3 linked regions of the Callithrix jacchus genome follow. The protein of the gene in region 1 purifies or fractionates together with the protein of each later gene. This does not show direct contact. Links are inferred from orthologs where the notes say so. Each region holds a gene or a part of one and is shown in the gene's direction. Other genes may lie near its edges.

Region 1 (6,567 bases):
TGAGTCTTGCTTTTTCGCCCAGGCTGGAATGCAGTGGTGTGATCTTGGCTCACTGCAACCTCCACCTCCCGGGTTCAAGAGAGTCTCCTGCCTCAGCCTCCTGAGTAGCTGGGATTACAGGTGTGTGCTACCACACCTAGCTAATTTTTGTATTTTTAGTGGAGATGGGGTTTTACCATGTTGGCCAGGCTGGTCTTGAACTCCTGACCTCAAGTGATCTGCCTGCTTCAGCCTCCTAACGTGTTGGGATTACAGGCGTGAGCCACCACGCCTGGCCAGCGAAGGTCTCTCTAAGGAGGTGCTATTTAACCTAAGCTTAAAGGAGGTGGCATTTTAAATTGTTGATAGTAATTTCCTTTTCATGTTGAAAGTAATTTCTCTATCTGATATTTATAATCAGAAAATTTTAATTCAGACACTATAATGTTTCCTGTAATTCCTCTTCAGGATTTTTTAGTTGATTGATTTATTTTTTTGAGACAGAGTCTTGCTCTGTCACCCAGGCTGAAGTACAGTGGCACGGTCTCGGCTCATTAGTTGATAGACATTTAATGGAACAGAATGTCTTATATACCTAATTTGATAGATGGATGGATTGATTGAAACGGTATGTCTCTCTTTTTGTTTCTGTTTGATATTCTAGAAAGGCAGGTAGGACTAGATCATATCCTCTGGGCTAACGTCATTTAGATTTCATAGAAACTCCAAGTATAGGGCCGGGCGCGGTGGCTCAAGCATGTAATCCCAGCACTTTGGGAGGCCGAGGCGGGTGGATCACGAGGTCAAGAGATTGAGACCATCCTGGTCAACATGGTGAAACCCCGCCTCTACTAAAAATATAAAAAATTAGCTGGGCATGGTGGTGCGTGCCTGTAATCCCAGCTACTCAGGAGGCTGAGGCAGGAGAATTGCCTGAACCCAGGAGGTGGAGGGTGCGGTGAGCCGAGATCGTGCCATTGCACTCCAGCCTGGGTAACAAGAGTGAAACTCTGTCTCAAAAAAAAAGAAACTCCAAGTATAAGCCTTTCCAGATTTCTCTTATTAAATTGACTAAGGCTCTTTCCCTAATGTTTTTAACTGGGATATAAATAAATAGAAAAGTGAAATGTCTACTTTTTTACATCTGTAAGAAATATTTTCTTTCTTTCTTTTTTTTTTTTTTTTGCAACGGAATTTTGCTCTTGTTGCCCAGGCTGCGTGAAGTGGCATGATCTCAGTTCACTGCAGCCTCCACCTGCTGGGTTCAAACAATTCTCCTGCCTCAGCCTCCCTAGTAGCTGGGATTATAGGCACCCGCCACTATACCAGCTAACTTTTTGTAGAGACGGGGTTTCACTATGTTGGCCAGACTAGTCTCAAACTCCTGACCTCAGGCGATCCACTTGCCTCAGCCTCCCAAAGTGATGGAATACAGGCATCAGCCACTGCACCCGGCTGTATTTTATTTTTCTTGTCTAACCTTTATTATACACTTTATCTTGGTTTTACTTTTGCTTTGCAAAAGCATGAGATTCTAGTTTTGACACTAATATTAATCCTAGTATTTGTGACCTGATCTCTAGCTTTCAGGATGCCAACCCGCCCCTGAAGGTTATTCACCAACACTTCAGTGGCAACAGCAACAAGTGGCACAGTTTTCAACTGTTCGACAGGTAAAGTGTCATATTTAATCTAATTAAGCCCCTGTTGGATTTATTTCTATTCCTAGACTGTAGATAGAAAAATAAAATTTATGATCCTAAAGTATACAGAATATTCATGAATTACCAAGTTATTATAATTGTTAGACATAATACAGTTTGAAACATTGTATAAGTTTTATTTATTTTGTTTATTTCAATAGTTTTGGGGAACAGGTGAGTTTTGGTTACATGGTTGAGTTCTTTTGTAGTGATTTCTGAGCTTTTGGTGCACTCATCACCCAAGCAGTGTACTCTTTACCCAATAAGTAGACTTTTATACTTCACCCCCTCCCACCCTTCCCATTTTCCAAGTTTTAGATGGTTAAAATTTTGTGCAGAAACTGATTTCTTTTCAGTTACCCATTTTTTGAAGAGTACTAACGTATAACTTTTCTTCCTTTAGAATGTGAACAAACATAGAAGTCACTGGAAATCACAACAGTTGGATAGTAATGTGACCATGGTATGTAAGTTTCTCAGTTTTAAGTTGTACAATATATACTTGATTGAAAGAAACTACATTTACTTGCAGTCTTTAAAGATTCACTTCCTATTCAGTGTTATTTTCATTCTTTTCAATATACCATTAATAGTAGCAATTCCATTACATTAGTAGCCTGAAAAGTATAGATTTTCATGACAGTTTTTTTTTTTTTTGAGACAGGGTCTTGCTGTATCTCCCAGGGTGAAGTGCAGTTGCACAATCACAGCTTGCTGCAGCCTCAACCTCCTGGGCTCAAGTGATCCTCCCACCTCAGCCTCCCAAGTAGCGTAAACTAAAGGCACATACCACCATGCCCATCTAATTTTTAAAATATTTTGTAGAGGCGGGGTCTCCCTTTATTATCCAGGCTGGTCTCTTACTCCTGGGCTCAAGAGATCCTCCTGCCTTAGCCTCCCAGAGTGCTAGATTACAAGCATCAGCTACTGTACCCAGCCTTTCATGTCAATTTTAATTCACAATATCTTGGGGGACTTTGGATAGGTGACTGTTAAGCTTCTACAAGTTTTTAAGGATTCTTCTAGGCATTTACTTTCTAGGAAATTAATACATTTTTAATATTTATAAAAAGATTTAATAAAGACTTAATGGATTTTCTTGATGAGGTGATAGTACCATGCAGTAAACCCACACATTTACAGAACTTGTAAATGATTCTGCTTCTACTTAATGTGATGAGTCTGCATCACAATTCCAGTGACATATAAGTAAAGCCTGTCTTGTATACTGTCATGCATATGTCCTACATTTTATCTTTAAATATAATTTTAAGCTCTTCACTAGATATATCAGGACTACCAAATGAAAAAAGGAGTTGGAAAGATGATACATTGTCTCAGGACAGTAGTTTTTAACCTTTTAGGGGATTTCGTATTTTTTTCTGAGGACCTAATGAAAGCTCTTTATCTTCAGAGGGGAAAAAATGCACCTATGCACAAAATTTTAGTTTCAGGTAGTTCATAGATTTCAGATTTTAGAAGCTTCCTGTAGACAGTGCTTCTTGATATCTTTTACGGGGTGATGCATTAGAATAAATGACTGCTTGCATATTCTTCCTGAAACCAGCCGAAAGCTGAGAGATTCAGTATATGGCATCTCTCTATTCTTCTGCATACCATTTGGAAGCTCTGCTCCAGGAAAAGTGTTAAGGGAAGTAACTTATCACTTGCCAAAGGACATTTAACTCATAAAAGGTATAGCTAGTCCTTCTATCAAAGAAGCATGTGCACATACACACACAAAAAGTATGCTTAGGGTTCAAACTCAAGGCTGTCTCTAAAGCCTTTGTGCCTTTGACTATGTAATGGTGCCTTCCTAGTCAGAAGGGTATATGTATGTAGTAGGGACTGGGACAGGTAGGTAAATATATTTTTTTCTTACTCAGTGGAACGGCTTTTGGGTGCATGCCCACTAATTAAAAAAGAAGCCACGGCCAGGCAAGGTGGCTCACACCTGTAATCCCAGCACTTTGAGAGGCTGAGGCAGGAGGATCCGGAGGTCAAGAGATTGAGACCATCCTGGCCAATATAGTGAAATCTTGTCTCTACTAAAAGTTCAAAAATTAGCCAGGCATGATGGCGCACACCTGTAGTCCCAGCTACTCGGGAGGCTGAGGCAACAGAATCACTTGAACCCGGGAGGCAGAGGTTGCAGTGAGCTGAGATCATGCACTCCAGCCTGGTGACAGAGCAAGACTCTGACTCAAAAAAAAAAAAAAAGCCACGTCAGTAATATGACTTGATAAAATTTTGTCAAAAATGGAAATTACCTAACATAATTGATTCAATAAACTATGGCCCATCAGAACAGTGGAATATTATGTAGCAATTATAGATGTTTATCATGGCAAATGTAAACATCATACACATAATAAAATGAAAATATTTTAAAGTACACTCTGGGCCAGGCACGATGGCTCATGCCTGTAATCCCAGCACTTGGGGAGGCTAAAGCAGGCCCATCACCTGTACTCAGGAGTTTAAGACCAGCCTAGACAACATGGCAAAACCCCATTTCTATTTAAATTATTTAAAAAATAAATAAAGTACACTCTGATGGAAACTGTGTGAAAACATAAATATTAATTGATCCAATAATTTATTAAGCAGGTATTATATTTAATAATCAGGATATTTAGTACTAACTGAAACAGAAACAACTTCTGACCTAATGGAATGATAGGAAAAGATAGATACTTTGTTCCAAGACAATAGGGTTTAACTTTTTAGTGTCTCATGATCATCCTGAGGTTTTGTTTTATTTTATTTTATTTTGAGATGGGGTTTCACTCTTATTGCCCCGACTGGAGTGCAATGGCATGATCTCGGCTCATTGTAACCTCTGCCTCCCAGGTTCAAGCAATCAGCCTCAGCCTCCCGAATAGCTGGAATTAGACGCGCCCACCACTGTACCTGGCTAATTTTGTATTTTTAGTAGAGATGAGGTGTCACCATATTGGCCAGGCTGGTCTCGAACTCCTGACCTCAGGTGATCCATGCTGAGGATTTAATGAAAGCTATTTATTCCCGGGGAGGGGGGAATGTACCAATGCAGAGTAATGTGCAAGGTGATAGGTACAAATAAAAGTTGTTTTGTTAAGGAGATTATATTGAGCTGAATGCTTCTCCCAACTAGTCCTGCTTTTTCTGTCTGGCAGCAGAGAGTAGATCTGTTTCTTCTTGGATTGGACAGCCCTTCAAACATGTCAAATATGTAATCATGTCTCTGTATATGAGATAAACATCCTTCATTCCATTAAGCATTCTTGGTGCATTTTTTCCCCCGTACTTGTTTCTGTCTTTATCATTCTCTTTTGGACACACCCTTATCTGTCAGTGTCCATTAGTCTGGTCCAAACTAAACACATCTTAGCTGGGCACAGTGGCTCACACTTGTATCCCAGCACTTTGGGAAGCCAAAGCAGAAGAATTGCTTGAGGCCAGGAGTTTGAGACCAGCCTGGTCAACATAGTTGAGACAACTATCTCTGCAAAAAAATTTAAAAATTAGCCAGGCGTGGTGGTACGTGCCTGTAATCTCAGCTACCCAAGAGGCTGAGGTGGCAAAATTGCTTGAGCTTGGGAGATTCAGGCTGCCATGAACTGTAATCATACCTTTGCACTCCAACCTAGGTGACAGAGGAAGACCCTGACTCAAAAAATATAATAATAAAATAAGAAAAAACAACATGTCCCACATATTGTATAGCCACTTAGGCAATATGTTTGCCAGGGCTGCCGTAACAGACTAGGTGGCTTAAACAACAGAAATTTATTTTCTCACAGTCTTGAAGGTTGAAAGTCCAAGAACAAGGTGGCAGCAAGTTTGGTCTCTTCTTCTTCTTCTTTTTTTTTTTTTTTTTTTGACAGAGTTTCACTTTTGTTGCCGAGGCTGGAGTGCAATGACATGATCTCAGCTGACTTCAGCCTCCACCTCCTGGGTTAAAGCGATTCTCTTGCCCCAGCCTCCGAGTAGCTGGGATTACAGGTGCGCGCCACCATGCTCAGCTCATTTTTTTTTGTAATTTTAGTACCAAAAAAAGGTAGGGTTTCACCATGTTGGCCAGGCTAGTCTCAAACTCCTGACCTCAGGTGATCTGCCCACGTTAGCTTCCCAAAGTATTGGGATTACAGGCATGAACCACCATGCCCAACCTAAGGTTGGTATCTTCTAAGGCTTTTTCCATGGCTTGCATATGGCCACCTTCTCCTCTTTTCTGTGTGTGTGAGAGTCCCTGGTTCTCTCTTTGTGAGTTCACATTTCCTCTTACAAGGACACTAGTAAGATTGGATTAGGGCTGACCCTAATGGTCTCAATTTAAATTAATCACTTATTTAAAAGCTCTGTCTCCAAATACGGTCACATACTGAGGTACTGGAGGTTAGGGTTTTAAAACCCTACAAATTTTGGGGACAGAGATTCTCCCCGTAACTGGCACCCTATCTTTGGGTTGAAGTAATGGGAATATGGGAGACTCTAACTTATTTTGTTTACTGTTCTGTGTAAAAATTAATACACAGGAATAAATCTGTTTTTGTTTTTATCTTTTTTTTCTTTCAGCCAAAATCTGAAGATGAAGAAGGCTGGAAGAAATTTTGTCTGGGTGAGAAGTTATGTGCTGACGGTGCTGTTGGACCAGCCACAAATGAAAGTCCTGGAATAGATTATGTACAAGTAAGGGCTATGTCAATAAACAGAACAAAAAGCATTTTAATTTTGGTGCATCACTTAATATAAGGGGTCAGCAAACTACATCCTGGGCCAAGTCCAGTCCTTGGCCTTCTTTATATATCCCATGAGCTATGGATGGTTATTAGGTTTTTAAAGAGTTGTAAAAAAGAAACCAATAATATGTGACTGAGACTGTATGTGGCCTGCAAAGCCT
Region 2 (6,567 bases), on another chromosome or scaffold:
GAGATTACAGGCATGAGCCACCGTGCCCGGCGCGGGTTGTTCTTAAAGCTCTGTAAATGTATCATATGATCTCCTGTCTTCTAGGTTGTCTTAGAGAGGGTTTCTAAGATTGCCTTACCCAAATTAGCAAGAAATTTGGGTTTGGGGATCATTTTTTCAACAAAGATTGGTTGAACCCATATTATGTATAAACGATATGCCAGGCATTGGGGATTCAAAGATGAATTAGATGTGATTGTCATAACCTTACTTTGTAGTTTAGTTTTTATGGCAGACTGTATTTCAAGTTCTCAGGCATTGGTATATCTAATGATGAATCTTCAACAATGGTTTTTAACCCAGATACCCATGTTAATTCCCCGAGAAGCTTGTTGAGTCTGTCTTATATCTGCCAAATCCTAGGTGATGTTGCACATTGGAAATCCTCCTACTTTGCAAGAACCTGAGCTAGTCTAATTGTAGACTAGGCTGTATTTGAGATTTTGGCTTCTGACAATTTGGCAGCAGATAAAATGCTAAAATCCTGGAAAAGTTTTATAAATTCATTTTTTTTTTTTTGAGATGAAGTCTCATTCTGTTGCTTAGGTTGGAGTGCAATGGCACAGTCTTGGCTCACTGCAATCTCCGCCTCCCAGGTTCAAGTGATTTTCCTGCCTCAGCCTCCCGAGTAGCTGGGATTACAGGTGTGCACACCACACACCCAGCTAATTTTTTTTGTATTTTTAGTAGAGATGGAGTTTTTTCATGTTGGCCAGGCTGGTTTCAAACTCCTGACTCAGGATATCCACCCGCCTCAGCCTCCCAAAGTGCTGGGATCACAGATGTGAGCCACTATGCCCGGAAAATTCATGTTTTAATATTTTGTGTGTATCAAAGTAATACATATTCATTTTTGAAAATTGGGAAAATTCAGAAAAATTAGGAAGTACCAGAAAACAAAATCTATCATTTCACTACCTAGAGAGAAACCGCTATTAACAGTTTGGCATGTTTTCTCCCAGTCTTGTATTTTATTTTAATAAAGTTTTTATTCCTGTAGTTAAGAGCACAAAATATTGCTTTTGCCTTCTCCAGTAGTTACATTGCAAAGTTTTTACCATGGCTCTCAAGGCTTTTGTGATGTAGCCCCTAGAGCTAGATCTTTACTTTACTTTCCCACTAATTCTGTATAGCCATGTGGGCCTTCTTTTTCTTCCTCAAATACCCCAAGAACACTGCCATCTTATGGCCTTTGCATTTGCTGTTTTCTCTTCGTGAAAACGCTTTGCCAGGTGTTGTATAGCCAGCTCTACTCTATGCCATACTTGCAGGTCTCTGCCATACTTGTAGGTCTCTGCTCAAGTGTTACCTCCTTAGAGGAGGGCTCATGATTACCTCATTTAAAATGACTCCTTCCTTCTTTCCCTGTGTGATTTTTTTTATGTTACTTTTCATTACCTGTCATTACTTATTTTTGTTTATTGTATTCTTATTATTTAAGAATGAAAGTACTATGAAGACAAAGACTGTACTGTTAATTGTTGGTTCCCCAGCAACTAGTATGTTGCCTAACACACAGTAGGTTCTAACTTAGTATTTGTTGAATAAATGAATGAATGAATGGATGGAATACAGTCAGCCCTCCCTATGTTGCCTGGCACATAGTAGGTTCTTACTTAATATTTGTTGAATGAATGAATGAATAGAATACAGTCAGCCCTCCCTATATTCAGGTTCTGTATTAGCTGATTCAGCCAACTGTGGATCAAAAATATTCAGGGGAGGGGTGGGGGAACAATTAAAAAAATAAAGAATAAAAAGATACAAACAAAAATACAGTATAACAATTTACATAGGATTTAAATTGTATTAGGTATTATAAGTAATCTAGAGATGGTTTAAAATATGTGGGAGGATATACATGGGTAATATACAGGTATATACAGTCTTATATAACAGACTTGAGCATCTGCAGTTTTGGTATCTGGGGGCTTCCTGGGACCAATCCCTTGTGGATACCAAGGGATAACTATATTTTACCCTATCAATAAAAACTCATTGAAATGATCATTTAAATGAAATATAGTGTGTCATGTATTTCTCTGACTCAAAGGTATAATTTATGTTTGTTTGTTTTTTAGATTTTGATCTTGGCCCCTACAAGAGAAATTGCTGTACAGATACATTCTGTTATTACAGCCATTGGAATAAAAATGGAAGGCTTGGAGTGTCATGTCTTTATTGGAGGGACCCCATTATCACAAGACAAAACCAGACTTAAAAAGTGTCATATTGCTGTTGGATCTCCTGGTAAGATAACAGTGCCTGTTGGTAACCAGGGCTTTTAAGGAACTAAACACTTTTAATATAAAAATAAAGATATATGGGAATCTTTGATAACTGTGATAATTATTTTGGTTAGAAACGAAGAGCATTAGACTGATGAGATATAGGCACATGACTGGTTTATCAGTGGAATTTGTGAAATTTCCATTCCTAAGGATGTTTCAGAACACATGGGATAGTCCTCTGAGAAGAAATGCGCTGACTTTCAGGAGGCCCTTCTAAGCAATGGACTGGGATTATTCTTTGGCTTCTCTATTGCATTTGGTTGTGAATCACTCAGAATCAGAGTCTTGCATTCAGTGCTTTAGGATTTTTGTTAGGATTGGTGTTTATTTACTAGTGATGAAATGTGAGGGGAAAACAGTGAGTTTAGGCAAGATCAGAGCTCAAGATTTCTAATTCATGGTTTAGCGTGAGCATGTGTAATGAGAGTTGAATCAGGAAATTCAGCAGAACAACTTGTGAATAAGTAGAGTAACAACATTGGCTGAGATTTACACAAATTTGGTACATCATAAATATTTCAATTTTTTTTTTTTTTAATTAGGCAGAATTAAGCAACTCATAGAACTTGACTACTTGAACCCAGGCAGTATACGCCTCTTTATTCTTGATGAAGCAGATAAGCTTTTAGAAGAAGGAAGCTTCCAGGAGCAAATAAAGTAAGAAAAATAGCTAACTTGACTATTAAAACAGCGTCCCAAAGTATCTAGCTTTCCTGAGCGGTGATTATTGTCTGAATAATTTACATGATACATGTTTTTATTTTGCAGTTGGATTTATTCTTCCTTGCCTGCCAGTAAACAGATGCTAGCAGTATCAGCTACTTACCCTGAATTTTTGGCTAATGCTTTGACAAAGTACATGAGAGATCCCACTTTTGTAAGACTGAATGCCAGTGATCCAAGTCTCATAGGTATGTGCAGCTTTTAGCTACTTACATGATTTGTTTGTGATATTCTGGAGCTTTTCCTTGCCTGGTTGTCTGTTGTTGTTTCGTGATATCTATTAGGTTATAGCATGTATGTTTGTTTTAACTGACAACTCTTCTTTGTAGGTTTGAAGCAGTATTACAAAGTTGTCAATTCGTACCCTTTGGCACATAAGGTTTTTGAGGAAAAGATTCAGTATTTACAGGAACTATTCAGCAGAATTCCATTTAATCAAGCTTTAGTCTTCTCTAATTTGCATAGCAGGTAATGTAACTTAAAAGGCCATCTGGGGAACTTGTGAAATAAAAGGATAGGCATGGGGCAATATTTGTAAATTTGTAACTATTTATGTTCTATTTCATAGAGCACAACATTTGGCTGATATCCTTTCTTCTAAAGGCTTCCCTGCTGAGTGCATTTCAGGTCAGTTCATTTCTTACTTTAATCTTTATTTAGTATACTGACTTGAAGCCTCCAAAGTCAGAAGGAAGAAATACCACTTTATGAGTTGTCTTCTGAATATAAAATTATCATGTATTTTTTAGAGTAAAGGAATTTTCAGGCTTATTTTTCTTTGGAATTTGAAATGTCAATATCCTTCTATTTTTAAGGAGTAATTTGGTGTATGGTAAAAAGTTAGAAAACTAGTGTTCAGAGAGATGTAATTTTATATCTCTGAGTATAACCACAAAGAACTTAATTCTATAAAACCAAGTATGTCTGTGTTAAGATAAAAATATTTTTCTTTAGAAAAAAAAATTTTTTTTAAATAATCACTGTTAAGATGCTGGAGATTGTTAACTGAATTGACTGTTTTATGGTTTTGTGGAAGGCAGAGTGATTGACTTCTTGCCACAGAGTTACATGATTACTGCTGGCATAATGAAAGAGTCAAAGGATTTTTGGATCAGCGAGATCATTTTTAGAGTTTTGTTTCGTGTTAGCTTAGTTTTTGACTTTTTATTTTTTTTAATTTTTTTTTTTTTTTTTTTAAGTAGAGACAGGGTTTCACCATATTGGCCAGGCTGGTCTTGAACTCCTGACCTTGTGATCCACCCTCCTCATCCTCCCAAAGTACTGGAATTATAGGGGTGAGCCACTGTGCCCCGCCTGTGTTAGTTTAGTTTTTAACGTGTTGGCTTGAGCTTGTTTAGTTATCATGAGATACTGGGGAGACTATTTTCTAATGAACCAATATTTTAACTATAGATCACACTTTAACACCAAATTATAAACAGCTGATATAAAGCATTTTTATTTTCCTAAGAATTGCTAGTTATACTTCTTATGTAACTGCAAATAGAATTTATATGCATGGCCTGATTACTATTTAAAATTGATTTTGAATTTCAAGTTGATTGCCTAAACCATCTTTTAAAAGATTCTGACTTTGGATCGTAACCTAGATTTGCACAGAAGGACAGAATTAACTGTGGTTGGTGTGTTAAAAGTGTTAAGACTGGGCGTTATGATTTTTACTTTTTGTGGATTTGATAAATATGTATTAGCTTAGTTGTTTTTATATGACTTTCTTTTGGGGTCCTTTTAGGCAATATGAATCAGAATCAGCGTCTTGATGCTATGGCTAAACTGAAGCAGTTTCATTGCAGAGTCCTCATTTCCACAGATTTGGTAAATTTCCTGTTTAGTTTGTGTGACTAATCTGTCTTGACATATGTTCTTTTATCAGATGTACAGCTTTCATCTATTATTTTATGTAAGTGTATCTACAAGAATACCAGAAGATAATTATCTTTCCAGTGCTGAGGGAAATGCTTTCTTAAAAATGTCTTTAATAGGTTGATCTTTGTCCTTGAAATTAGACATCAGAAATGAATTTTCTTTTCCTCTGCTCCTCAATATTCTGTGTTTAATTTGGCTCTTGGCTATACTGGAAGAATATAATATGCATTGGTAGCCATGCTGTACAGTTAGTGTAAACAGATAATTACTGTCTTCTTCAATTCAAGACTTCCCGTGGGATTGATGCTGAGAAGGTGAATCTGGTTGTAAATCTGGATGTACCGTTGGATTGGGAGACATATATGCATCGGATTGGCAGAGCTGGCCGTTTTGGTAAATAAAGTTTCAGTGCTTTCTTTAAGGGGAGGACTCTATAATGTGACAGGTGGGCTTTGAATGTTATTTTTATGAAAATGATTTACTACCTAACATTCTCTCTGCTTTAGGTACATTGGGACTGACAGTGACCTACTGTTGCCGGGGAGAGGAAGAAAATATGATGATGAGAATTGCCCAGAAATGTAATATCAACCTTCTACCTTTACCAGGTACATTTAATCTGTTTCATTTTGCTGTCAAAATAATTATAGTGATGATAAGCATAATAAAAATATTAATAATAGCAAACACAGAGTGCTTATGATGTGCTGGATACTGTTCCCAGTACTGTATGTACATTAACTCATTTCTCACCACACTCTTGTGAAGTGTGTGTGATTCTCTTGTAGATGAGGATATTTAGGCATAGAGAGGGTAAGTAAAGGTGTTAGAGCTAGCAAGTGGCAGGGAGAAGAGTGCAAGCTAACCACTGGCACATGAAAAATTAGAGCTGGCTGGGCACAGTGGCTCACGCTTATAACCCCTGCACTTTGGGAGTCTGAGACGAGTGGATCACCTGAGTTCAAGACCAGCCTGGTCAACATGGTGAAACCCCGTCTCTACTAAAAAATAAAATTAGCCAGATGTGGTGGCGGGTGCCTGTAATCCCAGCTGCTCGGTAGGCTGAGGCAGGAGAACTGTTTGAACCCAGAAGGTGGAGGTTGCAGTGAGCCGAGATTGAGCTATTGCGCTCCAGCCTGGGCAACAAGAGTGAAACTTTGTCTCAAAAAAAAAAAAGGCAGAGTGGGTGAAAAAAAATGAGAGCTATATTAGCTCTATTTTATTTGTTAGTGGCTTTGCAATATGATTTTATTCTTTGATATGAGGAGGGTATTTTACCTCTTTTAAGTTGCTGTGAGGTTAATTCTTGCCATATTCTCCTTCGTTACCATGCGGAAGGAACAGCGTCTTTAATTTGAATACCATTTTGAAAACTTTGAGTGAAATTTTTTTTTTTTTTTTCAGTTCAGTCACTTGTCCTGCTTAAGTGCCATCTTGGAAACAGTGCATGTTTAAAACTATTAACGATCTCTTAAAAACAAAAAATTCTAAAAAACTTGAGTGGAAATATGGCATGTTTGATGTGCATGTTATACAGAAAATGTGCACTATAAATAGTGTATATTTATATATAGATGTATGTATATATAGATATATACACATATAGCATATACATGACCTTGTAGAA
Region 3 (7,168 bases), on another chromosome or scaffold:
CCCAGTATATACTGAACACGATCGCTATTATCTGTAGTGCAGGCGGCAGGGTGAGTCGGTGGAGGGAGGCTGTGCATGAAACACATAACTGTTAACAGTGGCAGTTCATGTGAGTTTCTCAAGCGCTAAAAACGTATGCTTACCAATAGACAACGTAGCTGGTGGGCCTACAAGTCTGGTTACTTTGTAATGCTGCAAAAGGGTTTAAAGCCCTTGAGCGTGTTATGTACTGTTACAGAGTCAAGGTCACTCTGCACGTGGAACAAGAAGGCTTGGGGACGTCTGCCTCCCCAGAGGCCGGGCAGTTTGCTGCTTTTTACTGTTCCCACCGTTTGCAGCTATTTTACAGAGGCACTCTGTGAGCCCTCCTTCCATTGCCGTCCCCCCCAGCAACTGGGTGTCCGTACTAAGTTTGGCTTCCATATGGTAACCTCCCAGGAGCGGGAGACTACCAGGTTGCCTGGCAAGGGGTGAACTAGCCTAAGGCTGGAAATGGAGCGGGTCAAAACTCCTGATCGACGTGAGTGGGATCATGGCAGTGAATAGCCACTGTACACCGCCTGGGTGACACAGCGAATAGCCACTGCACACCAGCCTGGGTGACACAGTGAAACCCTGTCTCTGGAAAATAAATACATACATAAATAGGAAGCAGCACAGCAGAAAAGTTTGGAAAAATCACAAACTGGCAACGTGGAAGAGAAGAAAGAGCATTTGTTTTGAGATAGAGTCTCACTCTGTAGCCCAGGCTGGAGTGCAGTGGTGTGATCTTAACTCACTGCAACCTCCGTCTCCTGGGTCCTGGTTCAAGCAATTCTCCTACCTCAGCCTCCCAAGTAGCTGGGATTACAGGTAGGAGCCACCATGCCCAGCTAATTTTTGTATTTTTTAGTAGAGACAGGGTTTCACCATGTTGGTCAGCCTGGTCTTGAACTCCTTACCTCATGATCCACCCACCTCAGCCTCTCAAAGTGTTAGGATTACAGGCATGAGCCAATGCACTTGGCATTTTTTTTTTTTTTTTTTTTTTGGAAAGTGAGTCTCAATTTGTTGCCCAGACTGGAGTGAAATGGCACGATCTCAGCTCACTGCAATCTCTGCCTCCTAGGTTAAAGCGATTCTCCTGCCTCAGCCTCCTGAGTTGCTGGCCTTTTTCTTGAAAATTAGTCATTTGAATTTTGCAATAATTTCTATAGTTATTAAACAGGCTATTGAATCCATCCACAAAACTTAAAATGCAATACTTAACAACAGGGCCTTAAATAAAATAAATGCCAGCTCTCTGATCTCACGGCCAACAACCTGAGATTCCTGCCATCTGGTCCCAGTTCAGGACCTTTGCGCCTGCTGTTAACCCTCCCCGTCCCCCGATCTTGCTTCTATCTGGCCTTTGTTCAAATGACACTTCAGAGGAGCCTTCCGTTATCACCCTTTATAAAATGGCCTCACTCTCACTTCCCATCCCTTTACTCTGCTCTGTCCTTCTTTATTATGCTGGTCACCATCTCAAATTATTATTATTATTTTAAGATAGAGTGTCGCTCTTGTCACCCAGGCTGGAGTGCAATGGCGGTGATCTCTGCTCAGGGCAACCTCTGGCTCCTGGGTTCAAGCGATTCTTCTGCCTCAGCCTCCAGAGTAGCTGAGGTTACAGGCTCACACCACCATGCCCGGCCAATTTTTGTATTTTTTTGTAGAGACGGGGTTTCACCATGTTGGCCATGCTGGTCTCGAACAATTGATCTCGGGTGATCCGCCTGCCTCGGCCTCCCAAGTGATGGGATTACAGGAGTGAGCCACCGGGCCCAGCCCTTAAACTATCTTTATTCAGTCAAGCGCTTTTATTGTCTCCCTCAGTACAATGTAAGCCCAAGCAGGAGAAGACTTTGCTTTAGTCACGTGCTGTAGCCCCCAAAGCCCAGACAGTGCCTAGCACATACGAGATGCTCGATGAGCAGTTGATTGAATAGATTAGACATCAACGCAATCAGGCTATTCACTTAGGGACTCTTTGCTAGGCGGCGGAGAGGTACGTTACAGTACTCTACACAACACGCATGCGCGAAAAAAATCAGGGAAGTGTGATCGGGAAAGGGGCGGAGCGTCAGAGAGAGTCTCGTGGACATAGGCGGTTCGGAGCGGAAAGCGGCAGGTGGAGGGGCGGCTTGGGGCTGAGCGCGCGCGCGCAGCGCAGACGCCAGCTCCAGGAGACTGAGGTACTCAAGGTGCCCGAAGGCGGGGTAGTGACCTCGCGCGTGCGCTTTGCCAGCGACGGCTCCTGGGCCTGGTGTGTGGGTAGGTCTTGGCCTCTCGCGGCGCATGCGCAGTGCTGACGGCGGAGGGATTTCAGGTCGAGACCCACCCCCTGCTCCAGTCGGTAGCTGAGGCCGCGCGGGTTGTTGAGCAGCGGCCTTGTGCGCTCGCTGCGCGGGCAAGGGAGTCAGGCAGACGCGGACGCCGTCGGAGTGGAAGCCAAAGCGGAAGTTCTTGTTGCTGAGGGGCCGCCGCAGCCGCCCCGAGCCTCCGGACCGACGCCAGACCCAGGAGGGCGCCGCGCGGCGAGTGAGTGTGGCCGAGTGGTCCGGGGTGCTGGGCCGCTACCCACAAGCCCCTGCGGTGGGCCCCGGTACTTTTACCTGCAGCCAGGCCCCTTTGCCGCGTCCCCTGCTGCAGGTCCCTTCTGCATCCCTTTCCCGAAACCCGAGCCCTCTGCGCACCCACGCCTGCTTCCCGTAGCGTCCTAGGTCCCCTACCCACAGGCCCTTGCGGTGTATGGCCTTTTTTCTTTTTCGTCTTTCCATGTTGTCCTGGACCTTTACCCATAATTCCTTTCGTCTTGGGGGCGCCCAGGTCTGTTACCCACAGGCGCTTGGCTTTGGGGCTTCGCTGCTTATGTTTCTCTTTGCCCGGAGACTTCAGACCTCCAGGCCTCTGCAAACCGCATCTCATAATTTGTCCTCCAAGATACGAGACGAGCAGCCAGCCACAACTGCTCTGTGCCTCCTTTCTCGGGTCCTTGATTCCCCCAGAAATCCCCAGGGAAGCTCTCCGCCACACAGCTCGTGGGTCAGGACTCTGAGACCTCACTGCTCAGGAACCCTTTTCCAGCCTTTGTTTTTTGTTTCCTTTACGGGCCTGATTTTCACCTCCACCCCCACCAAGAGATGCCCTTTTCTCTTCTAGCGTAGGACGGTTCTCTGCCCTTTCAGAGCCTCTTCGAATTCCGAGACTTTACTCCTGTTTTCTCTCTTTTTCTTTTTTTTTTTTTTTTTGAGAGTCAGGGGACAAATAGGGGCTTTCTCTGTGCAGACCCAATCTAACCTAAGGCTGTCCTGCTTCTGCTCTCAGACTTGGCAAGATGACCCAGTTCCTGCCGCCCAACCTTCTGGCCCTTTTTGCCCCCCGTGACCCTATCCCATACCTGCCACCCCTGGAGAAACTGCCACATGAAAAACACCACAATCAACCTTACTGTGGCATTGCGCCGTACATTCGAGAGTTTGAGGTGAGTTCACTGAGCAGGCCAGGAATGGTTTGGGTTGTGGGGTGCAAGGATTGGATCTGGGAGTCCAGCCTCTGACTGGATTTGCTAGCTGTGTGATTTAAGCGACTGGCTTCATCTTTGTGATCCTCAGTTTCCCTGTTTTAAATGGGGTTGGAGCCAGGTGTGGTCGAGTGCACCTGTAGTTCCAGCTACTCAGGAGGCTGAGGTGGGAGGATTGCTTGAGCCCAGGAGTTGGAGGCTGGATTGCTTTGTGATTGCGCCACTATACTCCGGCCTCGGTGACAGAACAGGACCTCATCTCTTAAAAAAAATTTTTTTTTTTTTTTTTTTAAAGTGGACTTGTGGCCAGGTGCGGTAGCTTATGCTTGTAATTTCCAGTACTTTGGGAGGCTGAGGCGGGTGGATCACCTGAGGTCAGGAGTTCAAGACCAACCTGGCCAACATGATGAAATCCTGTCTCTACTAAAAATAGGAAAATTAGCTGGGCATGGTGGTGGGTACCTGTAATCCCAGCTACTCGGGAGACTGAGGCAGGAGAATCACTTGAACCCGAAGGGCAGAGGTTGCAGTGAGCCCAGATGGAACCGTTGCACTCCAACCTGGGCAATAGAAAGTACTGTCTCCGAACAAACAGACAAAGTGAGGCTGGGCTCAGTGGCTCACACCTGTAATCCCAGCACTTTGGAAGGCTGAGGCAGGTGGATCACCTGAGGTCAGAAGTTCAAGACTAGCCTGGTCAATATGGTGAAATCCCATCTCAACTAAAAATACAAAACTTAACCGGGCGTGATGGTGCTTGCTAGTCCCAACTACTTGGGAGGCCGAGGCAGAAGAATCACTTGAACCCGGGAGGCAGTCATTGCAGTGAGTCGAGATTGTCCCACTGTACTCCAGCCTGGGCAACAGAGTGAGGCTCCCATTTCAAAAAAAAAGTGGGGTTGATGGTATACCTTTTGTAGAATTTCTGTGAGAAAGTTCAGTTGAGTAGTGGTTGAGGATTCACACTTGGCTTGCACCATTTAATAGCTCTGTGAGTTTGGGCAAATGTGTATCTTAATGCATTGGTTTCTTTATCTTTAGCAAGGGGATAGTGGTAGCACCCCTCATACTGTTGGTGGAGAATTAAATGGCAATGTGTATGTCAGGGGGCTTGGCATCAAGCAGGCAGCCTATGTCGGCCTTTGCTACTCTGTTTACTACTTTTATTGTTAATAAGATGGTGTTCATAAAGGGCTAGCACCGAGCGTTGGAGGGCTTAAAACCCCAGACCAGGATCTTAGTTCTGCACCTTCAGGGTAAATGACTTCAGGAATGAATGACTTAGGCTCCTGGACCTCTCTGTTTTTATTTGTGAAATTGGGATGACAATGGTCATCTTGTAGGCGTATCTGAGGACACCTGAGGAAAGCTGGCACACAGCCAGAAGTTACAAGAACATTCTCGCATTGGGTAGGAATGGGCAGCTGGAGGTGGAGGGAGTTGCAGAGCAGAACTTCTTAGATAGGACGGGCGTGGTGGCTCACACTTGTAATCTCAGCACTTTGGGAGGCTGAGGCAGGCAGATCACGAAGTCAGGAGTTGGAGACCAGCCTGGCCAATGTAGTGAAACTCTGTTTCTACTAAAAATACCAAAACTACCTGGGCGTGGTGGCACGTGTCCGCAGTCCCAGCTACTTGGGAGGCTGAGGCAAGAGAATCGCTTGAACTTGGAAGGTGAAGGTTGCAGTGAGCCGAGATCACACTATTGCAGTCCAGCCTGGTCGACAGAGTGAGACTCCATCTCAAAAAAAAAAAACAAGTTCACAGATAATAGGAAGGTGGATCTTCATTGGGATTTGCCACCCTGGATGAACCAGCACTTAAGAAATGTTACTAGCCAATTAACTTAATTTAATGGGCACAGGCAGGTGGTAGATGCCCTCTGATGATGATGTGCCAGTTACTATTTATGAGACTGAGTTTCACTTTTGTTGCGCAGGCTGGAGTGCAGTGGTGTGATTTCAGCTCACTGCAGCCTTCAGTTCAAGCAGTTCTGCCTCAGCCTTTCCAGTAGCTGGGATTACAGGCATGTGCCACCATGCCTGGCCAATTTTGTATTGTTAGTAGAGATAGGGGTTCGCCATGTTGGCCAGGCTGGTTTCGAACCCCTGACCTCCAGTGATCCACCAGCCTTGACCTTCCAAACTGCTGGGATTACAGGCGTGAGCCACCACGTCCAGCAACCAGTTACTATTTAATGCATGGTTGGTGACACCTTTAAGTGCTGCCCTGGCACTCAGAGGGTGTGCAGTGTGGGCTTCGGAGTCCTGTCCTGTCAGCTCATGTTGCTTCAGGCCTGGTCCTCTTAACTGACTCTCATAAACAGGGCCCTCCCGTAACTCCGCTCCCATCACATCTTCTGGCACTTTGTTCAATGTGAGTGATGCTTGGAGCTGTGAGAAGCAGCGTGTTTCCTGAATATGGAAGACAGGGACCTTCAGCACTGTATTTTTAAGCTAGGTGTCACCTGTGCCAGTGCTTTTCAAACTGTCATTGGTGAAGGGCAGTTTCCAATCTGTTGCAGATTGATGCTTTTGATAAATAGGATAGAATTACTTTTTTTTTTTTTTGCGACGGAGTTTCGCTCTTGTTACCCAGGCTGGAGTGCAATGGCACGATCTCGGCTCACCGCAACCTCCGCCTCCTGGGTTCAAGCAATTCTCCTGCCTCAGCCTCCCGAGTAACTGGGACTACAGGCGTGCACCACCATGCCCAACTAATTTTTGTATTTTTAGTAGAGACGGTGTTTCACCTTGTTGACCAGGATGTTCTCCATCTCTTGACCTCATGACCTGCCTTGGCTTCCCAAAGTGCTGGGATTATAGGCGTGAGCCACTGCGCCCGGCCTAGAATTACTTTTTAAAGAAAGACTTACAGTCAGAAGTTCTAGACCAACCTGGCCAATATGGTGAAACCTCCTCTCTACTAAAAGTACAAAAATTAGCCAGCATAGTGTCGTTTACCTGTAATCCCAGGTACTCAGGAGGCTGAGGCAGGAGAATCACTTGAACGATTCTAGTCAGTTCCTGGGTTCCTTTTAGAAACACACGATTGCTAGTGGGTTCCTTGTAGAGACAGCACAGAGGGGAAAGCAGGACGTAGAATCGCTTGAACCTGGGAGGTGGAGGTTGCAGTGAGCCGAGGTCGCGCCATTGTACTCCACCCTGGGTCACATAGCAAGACTTTGCATCAAAAAATAGAAGACCTGGCGGGGCGCGGTGGCTCAAGGCTGTAATCCCAGCACTTTGGGAGGCCGAGGCGGGTGGATCACGAGGTCGAGAGATTGAGACCATTCTGGTCAACATGGTGAAACGCCATCTCTACTAAAAATACAAAAAATTAGCTGGGCATGGTGGCGTGTGCCTGTAATCCCAGCTACTCAGGAGGCTGAGGCAGGAGAATTGCCTGAACCCAGGAGGCGGAGGTTGCGGTGAGCCGAGATCGCGCCATTGTACTCCAGCCTGGGTAACAGGAGCGAAACTCGGTCTCAAAAAAAATAAATAAATAAAATAAAATAGAAGACCTGCAGAATAAAAGACCAAATTTGTATTAGTCAGTGAGCGTAAAACTGTGAAATTACTGTAGAAGTTTCTTAGCACTTACTCCTGGTTTCTGTACTTCTCA

Evidence for each region.
Region 2: the proteins of GEMIN2 (region 1) and DDX20 purify together in Homo sapiens (affinity purification with mass spectrometry; 6 studies listed by BioGRID and IntAct, counting the BioPlex papers as one, with this or other methods). This does not show direct contact. The link is inferred for Callithrix jacchus from reciprocal best matches to the Homo sapiens genes GEMIN2 and DDX20.
Region 3: the proteins of GEMIN2 (region 1) and SNRNP70 purify together in Homo sapiens (affinity purification with mass spectrometry; 5 studies listed by BioGRID and IntAct, counting the BioPlex papers as one, with this or other methods). This does not show direct contact. The link is inferred for Callithrix jacchus from reciprocal best matches to the Homo sapiens genes GEMIN2 and SNRNP70.

Annotation. Positions count from the first base shown.
Region 1 is NC_133509.1:73,781,934-73,788,500, forward strand, and holds part of GEMIN2 (gem-associated protein 2), read left to right. Parts: intron 1-1,562; coding exon 1,563-1,652; intron 1,653-2,085; coding exon 2,086-2,145; intron 2,146-6,242; coding exon 6,243-6,356; intron 6,357-6,567. UniProt on the Homo sapiens protein: The SMN complex catalyzes the assembly of small nuclear ribonucleoproteins (snRNPs), the building blocks of the spliceosome, and thereby plays an important role in the splicing of cellular pre-mRNAs.
Region 2 is NC_133508.1:149,716,320-149,722,886, forward strand, and holds part of DDX20 (putative ATP-dependent RNA helicase DDX20), read left to right. Parts: intron 1-2,120; coding exon 2,121-2,289; intron 2,290-2,872; coding exon 2,873-2,987; intron 2,988-3,098; coding exon 3,099-3,241; intron 3,242-3,382; coding exon 3,383-3,521; intron 3,522-3,621; coding exon 3,622-3,680; intron 3,681-4,806; coding exon 4,807-4,889; intron 4,890-5,227; coding exon 5,228-5,333; intron 5,334-5,446; coding exon 5,447-5,548; intron 5,549-6,567.
Region 3 is NC_133523.1:42,898,760-42,905,927, forward strand, and holds the start of SNRNP70 (U1 small nuclear ribonucleoprotein 70 kDa), read left to right. Parts: upstream 1-2,372; 5' UTR 2,373-2,566; intron 2,567-3,348; 5' UTR 3,349-3,358; coding exon 3,359-3,505; intron 3,506-7,168. UniProt on the Homo sapiens protein: Component of the spliceosomal U1 snRNP, which is essential for recognition of the pre-mRNA 5' splice-site and the subsequent assembly of the spliceosome. SNRNP70 binds to the loop I region of U1-snRNA.